Notamacropus eugenii: one gene and its partner. The protein of the gene in region 1 interacts with the protein of each later gene in a pairwise test. Links are inferred from orthologs where the notes say so. Each region holds a gene or a part of one and is shown on either strand. Other genes may lie near its edges.

Region 1 (10,546 bases):
AGTCAGATATGACTGAATGACTAAACAACAATTATATATATCTATATATAGACATATAGATATGGATGTAGATAGATATACGCACATACATATACATATGAATGAATCTATACATTTTTCCATTTAACTGCATAGCATGGACTGTATAATAGACATTCTTCATTCAGCTGACTTTTCTTATATAGCCAATTAATCCAATTTTTTTTGAGTGATTATGGATCTCACTTAGTAGGCTCTATAATATTCCAAGGCATAATGCAATCAATACAATGTCATCTGAAAAGAGGAGCATCTCTTAGAACTCACTCCTTCACTTCGACTTCATACTGGATCTCCTTCATGACAGTTGTGAACACCTTTAAAAGCACTAAGGGCTTGATTCTTAAGGCCTCTAAAGGGAAGGGATGATGCTAATGATGTGGCAGTGAAAATCTCAGACTTTAGGTAACAAAGAAAACATTCCCACATGCTCACGTTCCCATTTATACATATAATAATAATATGCATTTGCTTCAAGGGCATCATTGATGAGAGCATTAATAATTCTTAGTCATTCAATAAATGAAAGAAATTTTAAGAAACAAAATAAATGGAATGTATTATATGGAAATAAAAGTTTTATATGACAAAAAGCAAGATGTCCAGAATGAAATGGAAACCAACAGAGACTGGGAAATAAAAACCTTTGCAAGACATATTTCTGATATGTTTGGTTCCCAGTAAGGAACTGACACAAATCTTTAAGAGTAAGAGCCATTCTTCAATATGAGAATGGTCAAAAGATATAATCAATCAGTATTCTAAAGAAGAATATATATATATGAAATTATTCAAACTAATTCTGGTTATTCAAATAACCAGAGAGATACAAAATTAAAACAACTCTGAGATGTCCTTTATCTCCCTTAAACTGATCAGAATATTTCTAAACTCTAAAATTCAAAGTAGAAAGGGAAGGGAACAAATACTAAGTGCTTACTATGTGCTAGGCATTGTGCTAAGCACTTCACTGATTTTATCTTAGTAGGCATAATATTATGCAATCTGTGGAGCTAGGAATTGTTGCAATCCTTTTGGAAAATAATACAGTAAGGAATTATGCTGTAAGAGTCGTGAAATCATTCATATCCACTCACATTTTCTGGGCTTGGCCTGACTCATTCCAGTCCCCTTGTAATTTAGCTTTGCTACTAGAACAAAATGAGACTGATAAATCAGTCAACAGTTAACAAAAAGATTTATTTAGTCTTAGCAAAGAGAAGAATATTCAGTAAGGATAGGCACTGACACTTTGAGTTTGTTCATCTTTCCCTGAGTTACCCTTTGCCATCCACCAGCCAAGCATAAGATTGACCTTGTCACTCCTTGTGGCCACTTTGTTGGTTGGTTGCCCTTCGTTCTTGAAGAGGATCAAAATGACGTTACTATATAGAAGTCAAGGTACAGTGTGTCCAACTGTGGCCAATCAGACCAATATGAGCTCAGAAGACTCTACCCCAAGTTGAGTACAAATAGCCCGTATGAACATCTGGAGTGAAGATGTCTTTACATTTGTGCATCTTATTTCTTTTGAACTATTGCAATTTTGCTTTGATCATAGAGAACAGTGCCTTCTTTGGTGTGGGCATACTATGGTAGGTAGTCATGTGCCTGTGTCTCCCATGGCTCACAATCAATTCCAAAATTCTTCAGAGAGATCTTTAAAGGGTCCTTGTGTTGCTTCTTCTGTCCACCATGTGAGCATTTGCCTTGTGTGGGTTCTCTGCAAAAACATAAGTTTGACATTTAAACAACATGGTCAGCCCACAAGAATTGTGCTCTCTGTAGCAGAGTTTGAATGCTTAGTAGTTCAGCTCAAGAAAAGACCTCAGTGTTCTGTACTTTATCTTGCGAGATGATCTTCAGAATCCTCCTAAGACTATTTAAATGGAAGGGATTCAATTTCCTGGCATGGTGCTGATAGATTGTCCAGGTTTCACAGGCATACAGCAATGGGGTCAGCATAACAGCTCTGTAGACCTTCAGTTTGGTAGGCAGTCTAAGACCTCTTTTCATCACCCTTGCCTTCAGAGCCTCCCATACACCGAGCTAGCTCTGGCAGTGCATGTGTCAACCTCATCACCTATCCCTGAAAATGCCAAGGTAAGTAAACTTATTCACAGCATTTAAAATTTCTCCATTTGCTATAACTGATGGTTCCATGTATAGATGGTGTGGTGCAGGCTGGTGGGGAACCTTGGTTTTCTTGGTGTTAATTGGTAGGCCAAAATTAACACAAACTGGTAAACCCTGTGGAGTTCATGTTTTTTATTTAGCAGTTTCTGAATTTCTCTATCATTTTCATCAAACCGTTCTTGATGTTTATGAGTGTTCTGGCCCAGATGAGTAAAACTGATTCTGTACACCAAATCTCTGAAAGCTGTTCACTCCTTTTCTGCTCCACTGTTACCAGCAATATGTTGGTTCAGCTTTCCCTCCAAGTTAGCAACAAATAGTTCACCAAAGTTTTCTAGTAGATATCTTGCCTTCAGCTGCCACTTTTGTTGAATGGGAATGTTCAGCTTGGAAATACACAAGAATGAGGCTTAAGCCAATGGCATTAGAGAAAGACATCCCCAGCTTCTACCCTAGAACCTTGAGAGGAGAGATACTTTGGGAGGAGTCCCAAGTATTGCTGTTCTTATAAGAAATACAGAATGAAAAAATTAGAACCAATGTATATATACTGACTATAGCTATGTAAAAGCAACAAACCTGGAGAAAAAGAAAAGGTTCACGGGAATAATAGGATGATATTGTCATTATATCGTAAACTTTCTAGACAAACTTTAGATGCCTTCATGTAAATCATTTTAAAGTCATTTGATTATTTGAATGTTACTGTTTCTTAATATTTACTAAATTTACAATTCTCTTTTAGCCATTTTTTAATTTTATTTTTAATGCTCATTTAAAAAAATTTTGAGTTCCAAATTCTCTCCCTCTCTGCCACCTCTTTCCCCATTAAAAAGGCAAGAAATGTGGTATCAACTATACATGTGAAATCATGTAAAACCTATTTCCATATTAGCCATGTTGCAAAAAAAAAAAGGCAAGAAAAAATAAAGTGAAAATATGATGCTTCAATCCACATTCAGACTCCATTAGTTCTTCCTCTGGAGGTGTATATCATTTTTCATCATAAGTCCTTCCAAATAGTCTTGGATCATTGTCTTGCTCAGAGTAGCCAAGTCATTCACAGTTCTTCATTGTACAATGTTGCTGTTACTGTGTAGCTTGTTCTCCTGGTTTTGTTCATTTTTCATTATCTCGTTTAAGTTTTCCCAGATTTTTTTCTAAAAATATCCTGCTTGTCATTTCTTATAGCACAATAATATTCCATCGCAAAACTATGCCACAACTTGTTCAGCCATTCCCCCATTGATGAGCATCCCCTCAATTTCCAATTCTTTGCCACCACTGAAAGAGCTGCTACAAATATTTTTGTACATTTAGTTCCTTTTCCTTTTCTTTTGATCTCTTTGGGATACGGATCTAATAGTGGTATTGCTGGGTTAAAGGGTATACATGTGAACTTACAATTTTCTAAAAAGAAATAGCAAGTGACAATGTTGAAGAAGCAAATGGGGGAAAAATTATGTTTTTATTTTCACCAACCTCTAACTGAAAAATAGCATTTCCTTGGATTGTAAATTTAAAAAAAAAACTATTCCAGGAGTCCACAGGCTTCATCAAAAGAAGTCAAAGAAGTCCAGGATAAAAAGCAAAACAAAAAATAGCCAAACAAAGGTAAAGAAACTCTATTGTTTCTCTGTAAAAGAATCTACAGGTCCCTTTGAAATCTTTGCTTGTTTTAAAAAGGATTAATTACACAGTTTTGCAACAAGTTTGTCAGTTATTGAGATTGCTTTTCATTTTCAACTGTACTTTCCTTTTCTGTTTCATTGTAAGCTCTGATGATCTTTGAAACATTTGATTCCCCAATAGCCGCTACAATGTTTCCAGTGGTCATGGAAACGAACTTTCTTTCTAAGAGTTACTCTTTTGTACATTTCCTTGGAGTAATATCTATTCTTTAAAACCACAGAATTAAAAACACAGCAAAAAAAAGAACAATGAAACACTAGTGTATCCAACAGTCAACTGATAAAGAAATAAGTAAAGGTTTTGGAAACCAGATCAATCTAGTTTCATCTGGTCAAGGTCATATATTCCGAGTCAGTCTGGTATCAGAGAAAGAATACAAGCATTACTAGTACTGTCAAAAAGTGAAACCATATCAAAATTCACTTACCACTGTTTATGTTTGTCTATACATATAGATGTATTCTGTACATGCCTGCATGTGTATAACTTATCTCCCCTTAGAATGTAAATTATTTGAATTCTGGGACAGCTTGCTTTTGTCTCTGAATACCAGCACTTAACCTTGTGCTTGACGCATAGCAAGGCTTAATAAATGCTTTCTAATGTAGAGGAAATGTACAAAACCTATGTGCTGTATTGGGAAAATATCTCCCCAGAAATACCCTTAGAGTTCAAAGAACATACTCTGAAGAGTTGTATAAAGACAGACCCTCATTCTGATTTCTTCTCAAAGGAAAGACTTCACTAACCATAGATCTTCAGTCTCATCTAGATTTTCCGATGATCTGATGAGATTAACTACAGGAAAACACCCCTACCTAAAACAAATCTGATTTGGGGCTACACCAAGGTTACTGAAAAATTAAGACATTACCTATACCTGTTGAGGTTTATGGATGCTCAGGATCCCCAAATACCGACATGCCAGGTCCTGTCCAAATGAGTTCAACTCAAGCCTTCTTTCAGCCAAAGAAAAACTAAGTTTAATATCTGCCATATTGGGTAGATTTAAGGAATCTGAGTATTTGTGACGCTTGTATTGATAAGCAAGTCTGACAGAATCTGGGTTAGATTGAATATGAGCGCCTTCATGGAGGCAAAATGCATCTTATATACAAAAAGATTGTGAGTGGAATCTAGGGTTGTCCAAGTAGTCTGGGGGAACTAGAGTAAGGATTTAGGGAGGGTTTTGAAGAAGAGTCTAAGGAGGAGCTTGATAGAACTGGGGTGACTAGAGGTCAGAATCAAGAGAATGGGATTTTGATAGGATCAAGGCTGGGAGGTAGCCAGAGACAATCTGGAGGTAACAGACAATGGAGGGCTAGCCTATGTTAAGGGTAACAGATTTGGGCATGAAAAGCCAGATCAAGTGGAAAGATTCAAGGAGAATTCAAGGGGGTTCCCAGAGTCTATACCCCATCACACCCAGAAACAAATTACCTAACTTCCTGTCCCTATTACTCAACCTCAGAAATAGGGAAAGTGACTGAGCAGCCTCACCTAATAGACTCCTTTTGCTACCTGCCCTAAAGTTGTGTAAAACTGTGTAAAGTTGTGTGTAAAAAAAATGTGTGTATCTTCCTCTATTCTTAGGAGTTGTTGGTCACTTGGCAACTACCCATCAGCTAATGCTAATTAAACTCTATCCTCTAACCTTGCCTCTAGATGTATTGACTTTCAGTCAAATGGATTTAGGTAGGAGAAATTATTCTCCAGGATGAATTTAGGATCCCTGGGCTAATACGTTTGATTTAAGGTTGGATTAGAGGCCATGATGGTGCATGTGAAAAACTTAAAAAACATCCTGGGATGCTTTCCTCTTTCTTTTTACCCCAGACACTGGAAAGAATTACAATTTTCGGTTCAAGTCATGGGGAGGGGAGTAGGGGAAGAGATATGTGGGGACATGCCCATTCTGTCTGGAGTTTAATAACTTACACTAATAATAGGATAAGTTGGAACGCTAGGAGTGTGGAGGGTGGAGAGGGCAACACACCCCAATAAGGGAGGAGCAGTGGTTACAAGATACACCCCATGGGAGGGAGGAGGAGAAATAGAAAGAGGGTAGAGAAGAGGAAGAAGGCAACACTGGACGCCCAACTGCCCCACCACTAGATTGTCGGTACGTAGCCTCGGTCTAGGAAGGCAGAGAAGAGGGATCAGAGAGAAGGGAAGGTTAAGTAGGATTGAGCTCCTCCCTTTTGCTACCAATTACGCGGTTTTTGGATTTGTGTGGAACTCCCCATCACTCTCGGAAGCCCGGGACACGCCCCTACAGAGGAGGGAGGGAGAGAAGACCGGCCAGGGGTGGAGGATGGACAGTGACAATGGAGTGAATAGAGCAGAGGGAGGGACATATAGGACACGCCCCCTGAGGGGAGGGAAAGAAGATAGGACACGCCCCTTGTCCCAGGAGCTCTGCCCCCTTCCCCTCCCTTCTGGGACCAAACTGACAGGTTTGAGTTTCCACTTCCAGAACCCATTAAGTGTCTTCCCAGTTTTCATTTCCCCCAAAGCACGGCAACGATGCCCAGGATTCTGGGTCTGGAAGCCAGGGTTGGCCGTCTGTCTCCCCAAGGAGGGCTCAGGCGGATAATATCCCCGGTGTCTACTTCAAGTCCTCCCAGGCCCCGGAGGAAGACTGCGTCCACCAATGCGAGGCCTGGCTGCCCCTCTAGCCACAGCTAGTCCCGTCTCTATGACGTCTAATGAGTTCTAGTTCCACCTAGGGGGAACTTCCCAGGATGCATCGCGGCGGTCCCCGGTTCTCGCTGACATGGCGACTCCCATGCATCGACTTATCGCTCGGAGGCAGGCGTAAGTGAGCACCCCCGGCGGCGTAGGGATTTTTCCATTCTATTTCCCGTAGCCAACCTAACTTTCTTTGAGGACCCTCAACGGCCCTGGGAAGTGGGGTTCCCTCTCTTGGGGGGGCATTGAATGGGGTGAGCCAAGGGGGTGGAAAGGGAGACAACCTAGATGTTGTGGGCCCCGGGAAGAGGGAGAGTGGCCTACGTCGGAGAGCCCCCGGTAGGCAGCTTGGGGAGGTGGAGCGCGGGAGGCCTCCCTTTAGCAAGGGAAGGAACGTCCGAGTTTTTCCAGATAAGAGTGACGTGAGCAGATCTTCGGTGGTTACTGAAACAAATGTCTTTGTACACCCCTGTCAACACTACTGTTGGCTCCAGTCCGCGGCTTTACAACTTGTCATTATTTTCTTTTCATCTTCTCTCACTTTATAGAGGATGATGGAAAAAAATCCCTAATTTAGAGCTTTTTTAAAGCAGGGAAAATTACATGAGGAATGTGCTTGTTAGCTTCAGTTGCCCTATTTATGATTCACAAAGCAAATGTACTATTGAGGATTCTAATATTTAACAGTAGGTAAAGGATAAGGGCTCACGAAGAGTCGAACACGACTGAAAATCGACTAAACAGCAACAAAGGATGTGATCGTGGGAAATAAATATCAGTTCGGTAAACCCAGAAAAAATAATTTGTAGATCCTTGGAGTCTCATTCTAAAAGAATAGAACTTGAAGAAGCTGTAAGATTCTTAAAAAGTTAGTATCGCTTTTTAAAAACAAATATGAGTATTCTGATCATTATGTAAATTGTAGACTTAGGAAGTTTTATTATTATTATACACATAAATCTTGTATGAAAGAAGTAAACATAACTATTTTCCTTTATCATATTTTGACAAATGTAAATAGTCTCATTAAATTTATTTTGGGGAGCTTTTTGTTTTTTGTTTTTCATTGTGTAAGTACGACAAAATATGCGCAAGTATAAAGTTGTACCTGTTGAATAAGTGGGCAGAAAGTTTACAAATAACACTTATTTGGAATTGAAATAAGTTAAAATGTAGTCATACTTTATTTACTGTCACTGTACTTCCAGAACTTGAATTGGAACTTTAACTTGAAAAAATACTCCTCTTTTTTGTATTTAAAGGACGCATTATAAGTCATAAAGGTCAAGTCAACAAGCATTTATTAAGGGAAGGGTTAAGAAATCCTGAATGGTAACACTATTTTTTGGGGGGGTTGGTTTGTTTTCAGTTCTGTCTGACTCTTCCTGACCCCACTTGAAGTTTTCTTGGCAAAGATCCTGGAGTGGTTTGTCATTTTCTTCTCCACTTTATTTTACAGATGAGGATTGAGGCAAACAGGGTTAAGTGACATGCCATGTTAAGTGTCACACAGCTAGTGAGGTTGAATTTGAACTCAGGAAGATGAGTCATCTTGACTCCAAGCCCAATGCTCTATCCATTGCACCCCTAGCTGCCATAAACCTTAGTCTTTTCAGGACTATCATTCCTAAAACTAGGATATTATTCAGTGTTCTTTTAGCTCATATTGTTCTAGCTCACACAGGCTCACACTATATTATCACAGTTACTTGAAAAGAAGCTCAAAATTTCCAATAACATGATATAGGGCAGGCAACAGTAGGGACCAGCTTGGGCCCTAATCTTGGCTACCACCAAACCTATTCCAACTTCAGCTTAAATATAGAAAAATTTTTCTGGCTTTTTTAGGGTTAGCTTCTAGACTCAAACCAAGTTTGTTGGGCCGTGTAATTAAACTGTTATATGCTAAGTTCAATTTTATATACTATAACGTGAAGGACAAAAAAAAAATACAGGGTATAGTCCTTATTCTTTAGGTATTTACCATATCAAAAATTTTTAAGCAAATAATATGTATTAATAATTAGTAATATATTATCAGATGTTTGTGTAGTTCAGATATGCACTCTAGGAATTCAGGAAATTAAAAGATTTAGCTAGTATAAAAACATTGGGCTCTCAACTGAGCTTTGGGTGAGAAATGGAATTTAGATTGGTAGAGATGGGAAGGTAAGCCATACAGGAACAACAGTTTGAATAAATGAAAACACATGTGAACTTGGCTTGTATGGGAACCAGTAATTGGATTAGCCTGATAAGAATGATGGGAAATGGAGTTTTCTAAGTTAAATGGGTTCCACTGTTAAAGGCTGTTTCAGAGGAAGAAGGGATGAAATTTTAGAAAACTGTATGAAAACTCCAAAACTTAAAAATTTACTCATTTTGATAGCTGGATAGATCAATAGATCTCATTTATGTTGGTATTCCCTTCACCAGTGCAGATTGCATACCTTCTTTTCCTAAATAATTCTTTCCTGTACTTTAATACTTCAGTGAATTTGTATTCTGCTTGATGCGGGTAACCCTCCAGAATGCAGATCATAACTGTTAATGCCCTCTCATTATGTGTAACTCTTATCCATGTCATCCCACAAATCTTCTATAGGAGTTCCATGAAATGTTTAGGGGCTTTCCCTTAAATCTCCTGTTGATTCATGGATACCAATGCCGTACATCAGTCATCCATCCCTTGCTCTCTTGACATGACTTGCCCATCTTTTCTTTCTAATGGCTTCTTTTAAAGATCCTCATCCATGTCTTCCACAGGTGTTCTTTTGAGGGTCTGCCTAATGTAATGAAAGCTTTTTTCTAGATCTTTTAATATTTCATGAATATCATTATAGTGCATAGTGTCCGTTATTTCTCACTCTCCCAACATTAGTAGCTTTATTCCTTCTAAATCATACATTTACTTGATAATCTTTCATGACATTTTTGTGTGCAAGTCATCATTGGCAATATCCTACTATCTATTTCAGAAAAATCTTTTTCAATTAAATATTTATTAATGCCAGCAACATGAAAGGGATTATTCTTAGTATCAGATATTTTAAAAAAACAGCCCTTACCTTCATGGAGCTTACCTTCTTCTGGAGGAAGATACAAGATAATTTGATAAGGGAAAGGCATAAACAGCTGGGGGAGTCAGGGAATATTTTACTGATGAGGTGCCATCTGAGATAAATCTTGAAGGAAGACAAAGATTCTGAGAAGTGGAGATAAGGGAGTGACTTTCCAAAGAGTGGAATATGTTTTTTACAATATACCTGGTCAGAAAATGGAACATCAAGTTCAGGGAAGTCTAATTTGGCTAAAACATAGGTTGTGAAGAGGAGTAATGTTGAAAGTATGAAAAAGTAATTTGGAGAAAGGTTGTAGTAAGGCTTAAATGCCAGGCTGAGAAATTTTTATTTTGAAGGCAGGGAGGAGTGTTTTTGAGCAGGAGAATGACATGGTCAGAATTATGCCTTAGATTATTTTGACAGTTGTGTGAAGATTGGATGGAAGAGAGTAAAGATTGGAGGAAGGGACACCAATTAGTATGCTACAATAGTCCTTATCAGAGGGCTTGAACTAGTTTGGTGGCTGTATGAGTGAAGATAAGGGAGTAGATAAGAGAGGTACTGTTGAGGTATCAACTGATTGAATGAGAGGAATGAGAATGAGGAAAGGATGAGACCATGGTCATAAAACTGGGTGTCTGGGAGGACAGTGCCCTGAATAGAAATGGAATTTGTCAGAGGGAAGAGATTTCCTGTTAGGTAGGGCATGTTATGTTTTAGACATATTGAGTCTAAGATGTCAGTATGACATTCAAAAGATGTTCACCAGAGAGATTAGGTTTGATGGTTATATAGATTTAGGAATCAGTTGTACAGAGATGATTGAACTCTTAGGAAGTAATGGATTTACTAAGGGAGAGAGTATAGAGAGCAGAGAAGACGGCTCTGTGTAGAGTCTTGGGGTCAGGAGATAATTAACTAGCAAA
Region 2 (10,929 bases), on another chromosome or scaffold:
CACATGAAGGATTAAACCATTAAATGTAGACTATGTCTGTACGGCCAAAATGAAATGGCCAATTAGCCCAGAGAAGTCTAATACTACAGTTGATCAGTTTGAAGAATTTGAGCCTCAAACCTCATTTTTCTTTTAAATTAGCTGGTTGGCTCATGAGTATCAATATGTCCATTGGGTTTGTGGAGATCTAGCTGGGGTGGATGCTCACCCAGATGATGTAAGGAGCTAAGGGAGTCCCCACATGTGAGAAGAACCCCTGAGTTCCACTTGTTAAGACAAAAACCTAAAAAGAGCTTTCATTTGGTGACTTTGAAAGGAGCACTGTAATGACTCGCCTGGTGACAGATCTGACAGTAAGGAGGAAATTTTATCTCCCTAACAACCAGTCACCCAAACAAACCACATACAACCACTCTGTCACTGGGAGAGGTCCAAATAGAGCATGCTCTGACACATCTGACAACATGCACTTAGTTACCATCCCCCAGCAACTCAGATTTGATGAATTGCTCTGAGTCATTCTCCAGTTCCCCAAAGACATGGTGAAAAAACAAAAGTTGTGTTTTCTAAGAGCAACAGATTCTGATCTTTTGTGCCACATTCTTTTCCATCGTCCACAAAGTAGTTTCTAAGTCAAAATCACAGAATTTGGGACTGGAAAAGACATCACAGATTATCTAATTCCACTTCTTATTTTTTTAAAGACAATTTTATTTTATTTTTAATTCCAATCAATCAATATTTATTAAGCACCTACTATGTGCTGGAAATACAAAAAGAGGCAAAAGATAGGCCCTGCCTTCAAGGAGCTTACAATCTAAAGGGGGGCGCAACAAGCAAATGTTTGTAAAGCACACTACACACAAGATAAATGGGAAACAAAAGAAGGAAGGCATCAAAATTAAAGAGGGAATGGAGAAGGATTCCAGGAAAGAAGGAATTTTAGTTGAGACTTAAAATGAAGTTCCAAATCCACTCCCACTCACTGAGAAGACAAGAAATATAAAACCCATTACAAATATGTATAAACATTCAAAGTAAATTTCTCTATTAGCCATGTTCCCAAAAAATGTCCCATTTTTTACATATGAGGAAACAGACCAGGGGATGAAGTATCTGTTTTGCCCAAGGTCATACAACATATCTGAATGACCTATATCATCAATTCAATGGACTAGGAACTCTGGGATCATTGAACATGAAATGATACTCATGTTAACTTTCAATGCTTCTGTTAAAAATTGTGTTTTGTTTCGTTTTGTTGCTTTTTAGGCAGCAGCATAAGTATAATGAAGAAAACACTCATTCCTAATTAAGAAGACCTGGGTTCAAATCCTATCTGTGTGACCTTAGGCAAGTTATTTGTAAAATGATATGGTCTCTGGGATCCCTAATCCAATGAACTTAATTTAAATCTTTTTTTAACAAGTTTTTTTTTTTTTTTAAAGAGTATGACACTATGAAGTTGAAGAGATGGTAGCCTATATGGAACCGAACAATAAGTCTGTGGTTCAAAATTTTTATTGCCAGCAGGATAGTAAGAAATGTGTAGTAAAGTAATTAAGATAAAAAAGAAAGCAGAGCATAAAGTATCTCTTTTCCTTGAATGGCATAAGTAGCATTAATTTTTTTATTATCTGCTAACGGCAATGAATGCAAAGAATTGATTGACAAGTCAACTGTTTGGAACTCTGAAAAGTGTTTTTCTCATGTAGACAATATTAAATATGATGGTCTCACTCTCAAGCCTGCTTCTACTCACCTACAAGATGAGTGCCTTCTAGCCCAAGATCCACTAAATTCCTTGCACTCAAGGCAAGTTACCTGTATATACACTAATTTCTGTCACAGTACCTCCCCTACCTGTCCTACCCAGGGAAAAGTGGCACAGTAGGGAAGGTCTTAGGGGTGAAGAAAAGTAGTTAGAAGGCATAAGTTGGTGGTGAAGTAAATAGAGCACTAGTGCCAGAAGACCTGAGTTGAAATCCAGATTCAAATACTTACTAACTATGGAACTTTTAGGCAAGTCACTTAAACCTGCTTAACTCAGTTTCCTCATCTGTAAAATGAGCTAGAGAAGGGAATGGCAAAGCAGTCCAGTATCTCTGCCAAGAAAACTCTCACTGGGCTCACAGACAGGAAAAAACAACTAAACACTTGTCCCAGGGTGCCTAGATGTCAAGAGGGCAGACTGGTTTATTATTTCCAGGTTCTACCATTGAGGCCAGACAGATTTTTTACTTCAGAAAGGTTCCATGTTCTCTTAAAGTTGTGAGATAGCATCTGTCTTCAAGTTATACCTGCAGAACTTCTTGTAAGTTTTGCCTGCAAGGTACTTAGGTACATGAATAATCAATTTATAAAGTTGTGTTCCAGAACAAAGGTTGATTTATTAATCAACTGTCTGGAACTCTGAAAACTTTTTTTTTTCATGTAAATAATATTAAACATGGTGGTCTTACTCTCAAGTCTAGGGGAGAGGGAGTTAGGACTATCTCATTTCCCAATGAGAACACCCCGTCACTCACTGCTGATCTGTAACTATTCTGCATCTTTGACTTGTCCCTGAAATAATGTACAAATGGTAACTGTGAGGCCTGAACTCAAGACATCTGCAGTCACCAAACAGTGTGCTGGCATTGTGGGAGGAACACATGAAAGAAAGAACTACACTGGCATGAAGTTCTGTATTGCTGTGGGGACCATTTTTCACAAATGAATGCATAAGCAAAGCATCCCTACTGGATGTAGGGATTCATTACTAATCTGTGCATACAGTAAAGTTTGCCTCCTGGAAAAGTCTGAATATTTGACTTTATACCTGTTCGGTATCACATACTGAAATCTGCAGGACTGGCGAATTCTCAGGCAGTGTAATGTCATCTGCCAATCTCTCTTTTCCTGCCCTACCCCCACCCCCAAGCACACTTTTCTGCAGGTGTCCTACCTATTTGAAACTGAAAGTCTTCAAAGAACTCCCATCTTCCTCTTCACCCCAGACTGAAATACTTCTTGCTTTCATCACTTACCCATTTAGAATTTCGTGTGTGCGTGTGTGCATGTGTGTGCGTGCGTGTGTGTGTGTGTGTGTGTGTGTGTGTGTAAAGCAAGTTTGCAGGGTTTTCCCCTGCCTTTATTTCTGGGTGTAGGCAGAAAGTCTATGTGAGGTTGGGGAGGAGGGATGAACTTGTTCTCTGTGTTTTAACTCATTCATGAAGTCAGGTAAGGCACGGACACAAGCCCTAAGGATTAATCATGATCATGTGATGAAAATGTTTTCCTTGAGACTTATTGCCATTCCCTTGGATTTCCCAAACGACATTAAGAACCAGAGTCCCTGCAGTGCTGTTAGACTCACTCATTAATCAATTGCTGACCAGGGACAAGTATTATGGCTTCAATATGCAAAAAAGCAGCTAGCTCATTTCCTAAAATTTTTTAAGTGTAGGTTAAAGCTTTCCCCTTTTAAAGCTCTCAGTCTGCTGCTATTCATGACAGGCCCCAGCAAGTTGTAAACAGAAGGAAGGAATATTGAGGAAATATTGGAGGGGGGGGAGGGTGTTTACAAGGCGAGAATCAGTGTCTTCAAAAAAAAAGGCAGTTTCCAAACTATAGTAGGAAATAGAGGTTACCCCTAATCGCCTCCTCCCCTCCCCCCATATACTCAAAGTATTGGACTGAATTTTAAAAGGGTAGGAAAATGAATGAACGTACTAAATAAAGTAGGCTGTGCAATGATTGAACGAGGGATTAAGATTAGTATGGGTGTATTTTTTTTAGGCTGCTTAAATAGATATCCAGTGAAAAGGGCTCTAGGGGAAACTCCATTCCTCCCCAAGCCCCCTTTTCTATCATTCACTACAGAATACAGATCTGTCACAGCTTCAGAAGCCCAGAATTAGGACCAGAAGTGTTTGGCAGCAGTAGCAGCCGCCGCATGGGGGTTGTGTTCCTAGTAACTGGCAGGAATTAATTAGACAAATATTTTAACAGGGTTCACTTAAAATCACAAAACGTGCTTACCGTCCTAGGATAGAATGAGAGAAGGTCTTTAAAATTCTTAGGTAGGGACAAGAGGTGGGTGAATCTGGGCTTCTCTGCTGTGGTCACACCGGCAGGGACAAAGTTTTCCAGCTAGTATGAAACTGAAACCAACTCATTTGGTCTTATTAACTGAGCCCTCCTTCCTGGAACTTGAGGGACCCGCCCCTTCCCAGCAACCTGTGCTCTCACATTCAGGCTTGTTACAAATGTGTCATCTGAGGGCAGCCTAAAGTCCCTTGGTAGTTTTTTGTAGCTGTTGTTTGTTTTTTAAAAACAGAATCTGCATACACCTTTACCTACCTGGCCACAGTAAACTGCACTGAGTTGATTTTATCTGTAACGCCTGGGGGCACCACCACCAAACCCTACTCTCAGAATGGATTCCACCAGACAAGGTTACACCAATTTCAAGATACTTGGTGATTTCAAAGCCACTCCAAATGGGAGTTCACAAAATGCTCTTCCTGATAGTCTCACCTTTACTAGTCAACAAGAAGACACATTTAATTCAAATCAAAGGTATTTTATGAAACAGTAAAGTAAGAAAAGCAATACATTTCCCTATAAATCTGGGATCTACTCTTCTTTAGATATAGACACTACTAATGTAAAGAGTGAACACAACAAAGGTACCACATGTGGAGAGTCACACATAGGGCCATGCCTGGTGCTCTGGAATGGAAGGGCAACTCACAACTTATACATTAATGAAAGGTCACTGTTAATAACAATAAAAATAATAACATTAATAGTAAGAATTTATATAATGCTGATTTCATCACTGTTCTGACAGGCCTACCTCTTACTGACCTTGCAGAGCATGAAGTCTCTGTAGATCACTGATAATCGCCCTGCATGTGTAGATTTCTGGCAATAATTTATGGAATGCCTCTCTGCTTTTAGATTTTGTCTTCAGCTGAAACTTATCTTTTATTCATACCTGCTCCCCATCCCATGGGTGTATGAGGTTTTCAAGGAGGATTAGCACCCCTGGTGTAAGGAATTTGTGGACCTTTTCAAGGGCAGCTCATCCACCTTTGGTGTCTACCTGGCACTCAGTTCTCACCTGTGGCTCCAAGAAGTTGTAGCATGTGTAGCCACACTCCAGTAAACCAGTAAACCATCTCAGCAGACAGGCTAAACCAGGTTGAGGGTAACTGACAGGCCTCAAATCTGTCAGTGAGTTAGGGGCTTGTCTATTCCAAGCATGTGAAGTCTTCCCCCACTGGAATGGATGGACAAGAACAATTTGTTCCAATAGCCTTGAAAGTAGCTGAAGCAGGTGCCTAAGGCTTTAAGCTGAGTATCAAAAGGCAGGGAGTTCAGACTAAAGAGGACACTGAAGTGCTGTCTCTTTGAATCTGCAGTTACGCAACTAGCTGATGGAGCCTAGGTGTAGCAGCAGTATACTAGAGGTCCAACCAGAGGCAAACCTATGATTTTGCTGCCCCGACTCAAACCATGATCAGGAACTTGTAAAGCTCAGACCAGATGGGTACTGACCAGACTTTACACTAGATGAGATAACTTAGAGCACACTGAAAATTTGTATGTCCCCCTGGGAGCCTTAAAGAATACATTCATTATCTAAGGATAGAAGTAGTAGGACCCCAGAGAACAACAAAAAAAAAATGGCCAAACACGGTTCCAGCATTCCCTCCAAAACTATGGAGAGACTGGTTTTAATACAAAGTTCCAATCTGGGAAGTAAGGTTAGAAGAATGAGTAAAGAAAAAAAAGACTCTCACTAAAAAAGATGCATCATGCCAGGAACAGCAAACTAAAGCAGGAAGAGGAAAATTACTCCAAAATGCCTACAGGCAAGGTCTCATAGAAAAACATAGTTTGGCCACAAAGGCAACTGGAATTGCTGGAAGAAATGAAACAAAGGTTGGGGTTTTTTGTTTTTGTTTTTTTTTAGAGTTTTAAAATGATCTTATAAAGTAAGTGTGTGAGAGGAAAGTATTGGAAAAGAAGTGAGAACTATGAAGGAAATACGGGAGTGGTGTTGTGTTTTAATGATCTTAAAAGAAAAATAAGTAAAGGAACAGAAAAAGTAATACACCAGGGAAGAGTTTGGTGTAGAAATACATTCAACACAACAGGGAAACAAGGAATGAGGAGGAGTGGGGTGAGGATAATGAGAGTGAGAGAGTAGTTGTTGGAAAGAATTATTTATAAGCAAAACAAACTCTAACCTCAAGAAGAGATATCAAGAAGAGTTTAAATGGAAAGAAAGAAGAGATATGATTGAGATCTGGTCAAGCAGACTGAGAAAAAGAGACAGGAGCACAAAAGCATAGAGTACTGGTCTATGCACAATCGTTCTCCCTCACTGCTCGCTTCTTTGTAAAAGGTGGCAGAAAGAAAAGAATGAAAAAATTATAAAATGATAGAATGGAAGGAAATATACAACTATCATAACTTTGAATGTGAATGTAATGAACTCATCCATAAAACAGAAGAGGATATCAAAATGAATTAGAAAGTAGAATCTAATAATATGTTGTTTTCAAGAGATACACTGGAATCATAAAGATTCATAAGGAGTTAATATAAGGGAATGGAACAAAATTTCATGCTTCATTTGAAGCAATCTCTGACAGGACAACATAAAAATTGATTTGACTAAAAATAAACAGGGAAACTATATATGCTTAAAGTTACCATAGACAATTCATTTCAATACTTAATATATATGTACTGAATAACATTTCATCTATATATTTAAATGAAAGGCTAAGTAAGTTACAGGGAGATATAAATAGTAAAAGACTGGAAGATCTCAACTTTCAGACCTATTTTTAAAAAAGAAAAAAGTTAAATCCCTTAATAAAATTTTAGGAAATTTAGATTTAATAGACTCTAATCTGCAGTAGCCTGAGCCAATCAAATTACTCCTAACGCTGAAACTCAATCACTGATGCTCAATGAGGTATAAGTGGATTACTCTCAATATCTATTAACTAAATGTCCTCAGTTATCTCAATAAGGTATCATTGCATATACCCAGGTCTTCCATAGGGAGATGCTAACAAAGTTCTTCACATCTATTCAATCCATGAAGACATGAAGTATAGAGAGACTTAATAACTCTTTAGGCATGTTCAAACCTATCCGAGAGCTGCAGTCTTTCAGCACATAATCAAAATCTCAAACAATGGTTTTATCCCGTTAACCTCAAGTTAATCATCGATGGTCCTTTGATCAATCCTCAAAATGGGGCAGCCAGAACAGAACACAATACAAATGATCCTCCCAAAGCAGAATACAGTGAGTCTATCAATTCTTAATTACTGTACTCTAATGCCACTTAAAAAATATAATTGCCTTTCTTGGTTGGCATATCACACTGTTGAGATATTACTGAGTCCAAAGTTTTCTAAAACCCCTAGATGTTTTTTGAAATGAAGAACTGTTCTCTCTCTATACCTCCCTCCATCTTGTAACACATCAAGATGACTTTTTGAACTAGTGTAAGATTTAATTATTTGTTCCTGTTAAATTCCATCTGATTCTATCTAGTCTAATCCTGAATTCATCTTTTACACTCTGGTTCCTAGTTACCATTCCCTTGACTTGTATTTGTAAGACTCCTTTCAATTAGCTTTGTAATCCTTTGAAGGCTATTATTCAAATTTCCTTTTTGCTCAACTATCTTTTAGATTGAATATGACTAGCTACTTGGCATGTATTTATAATATATTAAAAAGATAAACTCTGACTCGCTACAAATTTAAGTTGGAAATCTGCAACTTGGAACACTTCCAACAAAAAGTCAGTCAGGAATCATAAAGGAGTTTATTGCCTCAATAACCTCTAAAAGAAGAGATGAAGAAATGCCCCTGAAAAGTAAAATGGAGCTCCCAAAAAAGAGAGGAAAAAGCCAACTTTTCAGAAAAGGAAAAGGATCAGTCAAAGAAATGAGCAAACAGGAAAACTCTAACATGATATATGTTATGAATTGGAAAAAAAAGTGAAAACACCCTAAGAAAAAACAGACAGGGAATAAGCATAAAAAATGGACTCAGAAACAAAGTTGGTTGTATCACAAGACATATAACAATACATAAAAACTCTCTAAAGCAGGAATTCTTACCCTAATAACCTCCTTTGGCCATTTGTTGAAGCCTATGGGTCACTTTTTGGCATAATGTTTTTTTTAAAATGAAGTCAAAGATTAGTAAACTAAAGAAGTAATTTTTCCCCATCCAAATTCATGGGTATCTATCCACAGACCCTGGGATAAGAACCCATTCTCTAAAAGAAAGAAATTTTTCTGGCATAACTCCAAACTGTTTTCCATATTTCTCATTTTTTATAATTTTAGCTAATGTAATTATTTATGGTTTCTATGATTTGTTCTTTGACTCACTCGTTATTTTAGATAACATTAATTAGTATCCACTCTAGGTTATATCCTTGGATTGATTTTTTTTCTGCACCTGTGATGTCATTGGTTCAAGGGAACTCCTTTGAGAAAGCTCTCATACTAGTATAGAACTTTCCTGACTCTGATAGTTACCATATTAGACAGTTACCTGGAATGTTGAAAAGCTGTGACTTACCCAGGGTCAGAAACAGGACTTGAATCAAGGTCTTTGTTATCAGTTCTTTGTGCACTGTGCCACAGCTGCCTTCTCTTTATTTGTTGACTGTCTGGGCCTCAAGGTCTTTTCTTTCTCATATCATCATGATGCTTCCCTGGGCACACCATCTTTGCTGAGAAAGTACCTCAGTCAGAGTCTGTGCCTCTTCAAAACTCAACCCCCAAAGGTCAGGACTATCTCTCTTCTAAAATGAATGAAGTCACATATCTCAGAGCTGTCTTCTGCACTGACTCTCAGCACTCCTTCCTGATAGATGCAGTATCTCCTATGGGGTAAGAGAAATCCACTAGAAGATACTATTGTCAAAGAAGATAGGAGAAATCCCTTCTCCTTTCTCTGAGGCAAGAAACATCTTCATGACTGATTCTTTTCTATCCTGCCAGAAATCATATTCCTTGGAGATTTCTCTTGTTTCAATTCTCTTCTTAGTGTGTCTCAATTTTTTTAGAGTAATCAGGGTTAAATGAATTGCCCAGAGTGACACACCTAGTAAATGTCTGAGGTCCCTTCTGAACTCAAGTCCTTCTAACACCAGAACTGATGCTCTCTGCACTGCATCACCTAGTTGCCTCATTTGTCTCAATTTTTAAAGGGTCACTGGGAGTGTGATTGATCCCTGGCTAGCTGATAGCTCTGATAGGAATACAAACCACCTGTGATTCCATTACTATAAGGACCACCCTCTACCAATACAGGTGAGCATCTTCTCTGCAATTCATAGTCTTAAAAAGTTGCCTAGAACACTGAAAGGTATAATTATTTGCCCAGGGTGACACAGTCAGTATCTCCCAGGTAGATTCTCTAGCTAGCCATACTGTTTCCCACTTGTGTCTACACTAGTGTTTAGCACAGTTCTTGGCACATAGTAAGTGCTTAATAAATATTTAAGGGCTAACTGATTGATACTAACTAGGTTCAGTCTTGCTTAGCTTCTAAGATCATGAGAGACTGGGCACCTTCAGGGTGGTATCTGGCTATCTGCTTTCTAATTCCTTCAGTTTTATAGAAAACATGTTTACATCTGGTCCTGTAAGACTGACATCTTATTTTTTCTGCCTACTTCCTTTTATCTTTGGTGATTATATCAACTGGACTGGAGGAAAAGCAATTCATAGTTGTGTCCTGATCTTCTTCTAATATGCTTAAGTTGTATATTCCACTGGCTCACTTTTCTGTTTTTTAACCAATAGCATAAAGTTTTTTTATAATTACTATTTTGTATACTAATAATTTTATATTTATGTGTTTTACATATCATATATTTTATACATATATACTTTTATAATGCAATAGTAATATAATGTATAATATAATGTGTATTTATAATACATATTTTATAATTACTGTTTTGCAGAATAGCTTGACATCTAATAGCTTCATGCATTCCCTCATTTAAAAATTATATTTTCATCTTCTAAGAAGGGAATTTTCTTTCTTGTTGAATTTTTAAGTATGTCTTCAGTAATTTGATTTGTATAGCATTAAATCTGTAGAATAATTTGGGCAGTGGCATTATTTTTAATATGTTAGCACAGTCATAAACACTATCTCTGCAATTACTTAGTTCCCTTATTCCTATAAAATTTTGTTATAGCTGCAGTTATGTTAGTTCTTGGTAGGGAAGGTTAATTTTCAGCTATTTAATGTATCTGTTGTTTTCTTAAATAGAATTTCTTCTTCCTGGCTTTTGTTATTAATATAAAGAAAAGCCAAAGATTTTTGTAGATTTTTTTTCTTTCTACTTTACTCAATAATTGATTAATTATTCTGATTATCATGATTAATTTTTTTATTCTGTAGGGTTCTTCAAGTAAATCATTACACAATTTCAAAGAGAAGTGTTTCCTTTATTTTTTCCAGTGCTTATTCTCTCAATTTCTCTTTTTTTGTCTTATTGTTAGAGCTATGTCAGAAAATTTCAGATAGAGTGGGCATCCTCACCTCCATTGTTTTCCGTTACAAATAATGATAGCTCTTGGTTCTAGATAAATACTCTTGATCATATTAAGTAAAGATTCTTTTATTTCAGCATTTTCTTAATATAAGTGAGTCTGAAATCCATCTAAAACTTTTTTTGCATTTATTGATAGAATCAATACAGATAATATGTCATAATAGACAGTATGTTGGACCCAGAGTCAGGAAGACCTGTGACTATGAACGTTATTTACCCACTTTGTGTCTTAGGAAATTGTTTAAGACTGTACGACTTAGAGTATAAGTTATACATAGATTGTAACCTGTGCAACTGATTAAAAGAGATCCTCACTGACAA

Evidence for each region.
Region 2: the proteins of ZCCHC10 (region 1) and DZIP3 interact in binary tests that used the Homo sapiens proteins (3 or more experiments, as listed by UniProt). The link is inferred for Notamacropus eugenii from reciprocal best matches to the Homo sapiens genes ZCCHC10 and DZIP3.

What each region holds. Positions count from the first base shown.
Region 1 is NC_092872.1:345,603,317-345,613,862, reverse strand, and holds the start of ZCCHC10 (zinc finger CCHC domain-containing protein 10), read left to right. Parts: upstream 1-5,919; 5' UTR 5,920-5,989; intron 5,990-6,596; 5' UTR 6,597-6,643; coding exon 6,644-6,684; intron 6,685-10,546.
Region 2 is NC_092876.1:360,262,102-360,273,030, forward strand, and holds the start of DZIP3 (E3 ubiquitin-protein ligase DZIP3), read right to left. Parts: upstream 4,163-10,929; 5' UTR 4,024-4,162; intron 1-4,023. UniProt on the Homo sapiens protein: E3 Ubiquitin ligase proteins mediate ubiquitination and subsequent proteasomal degradation of target proteins.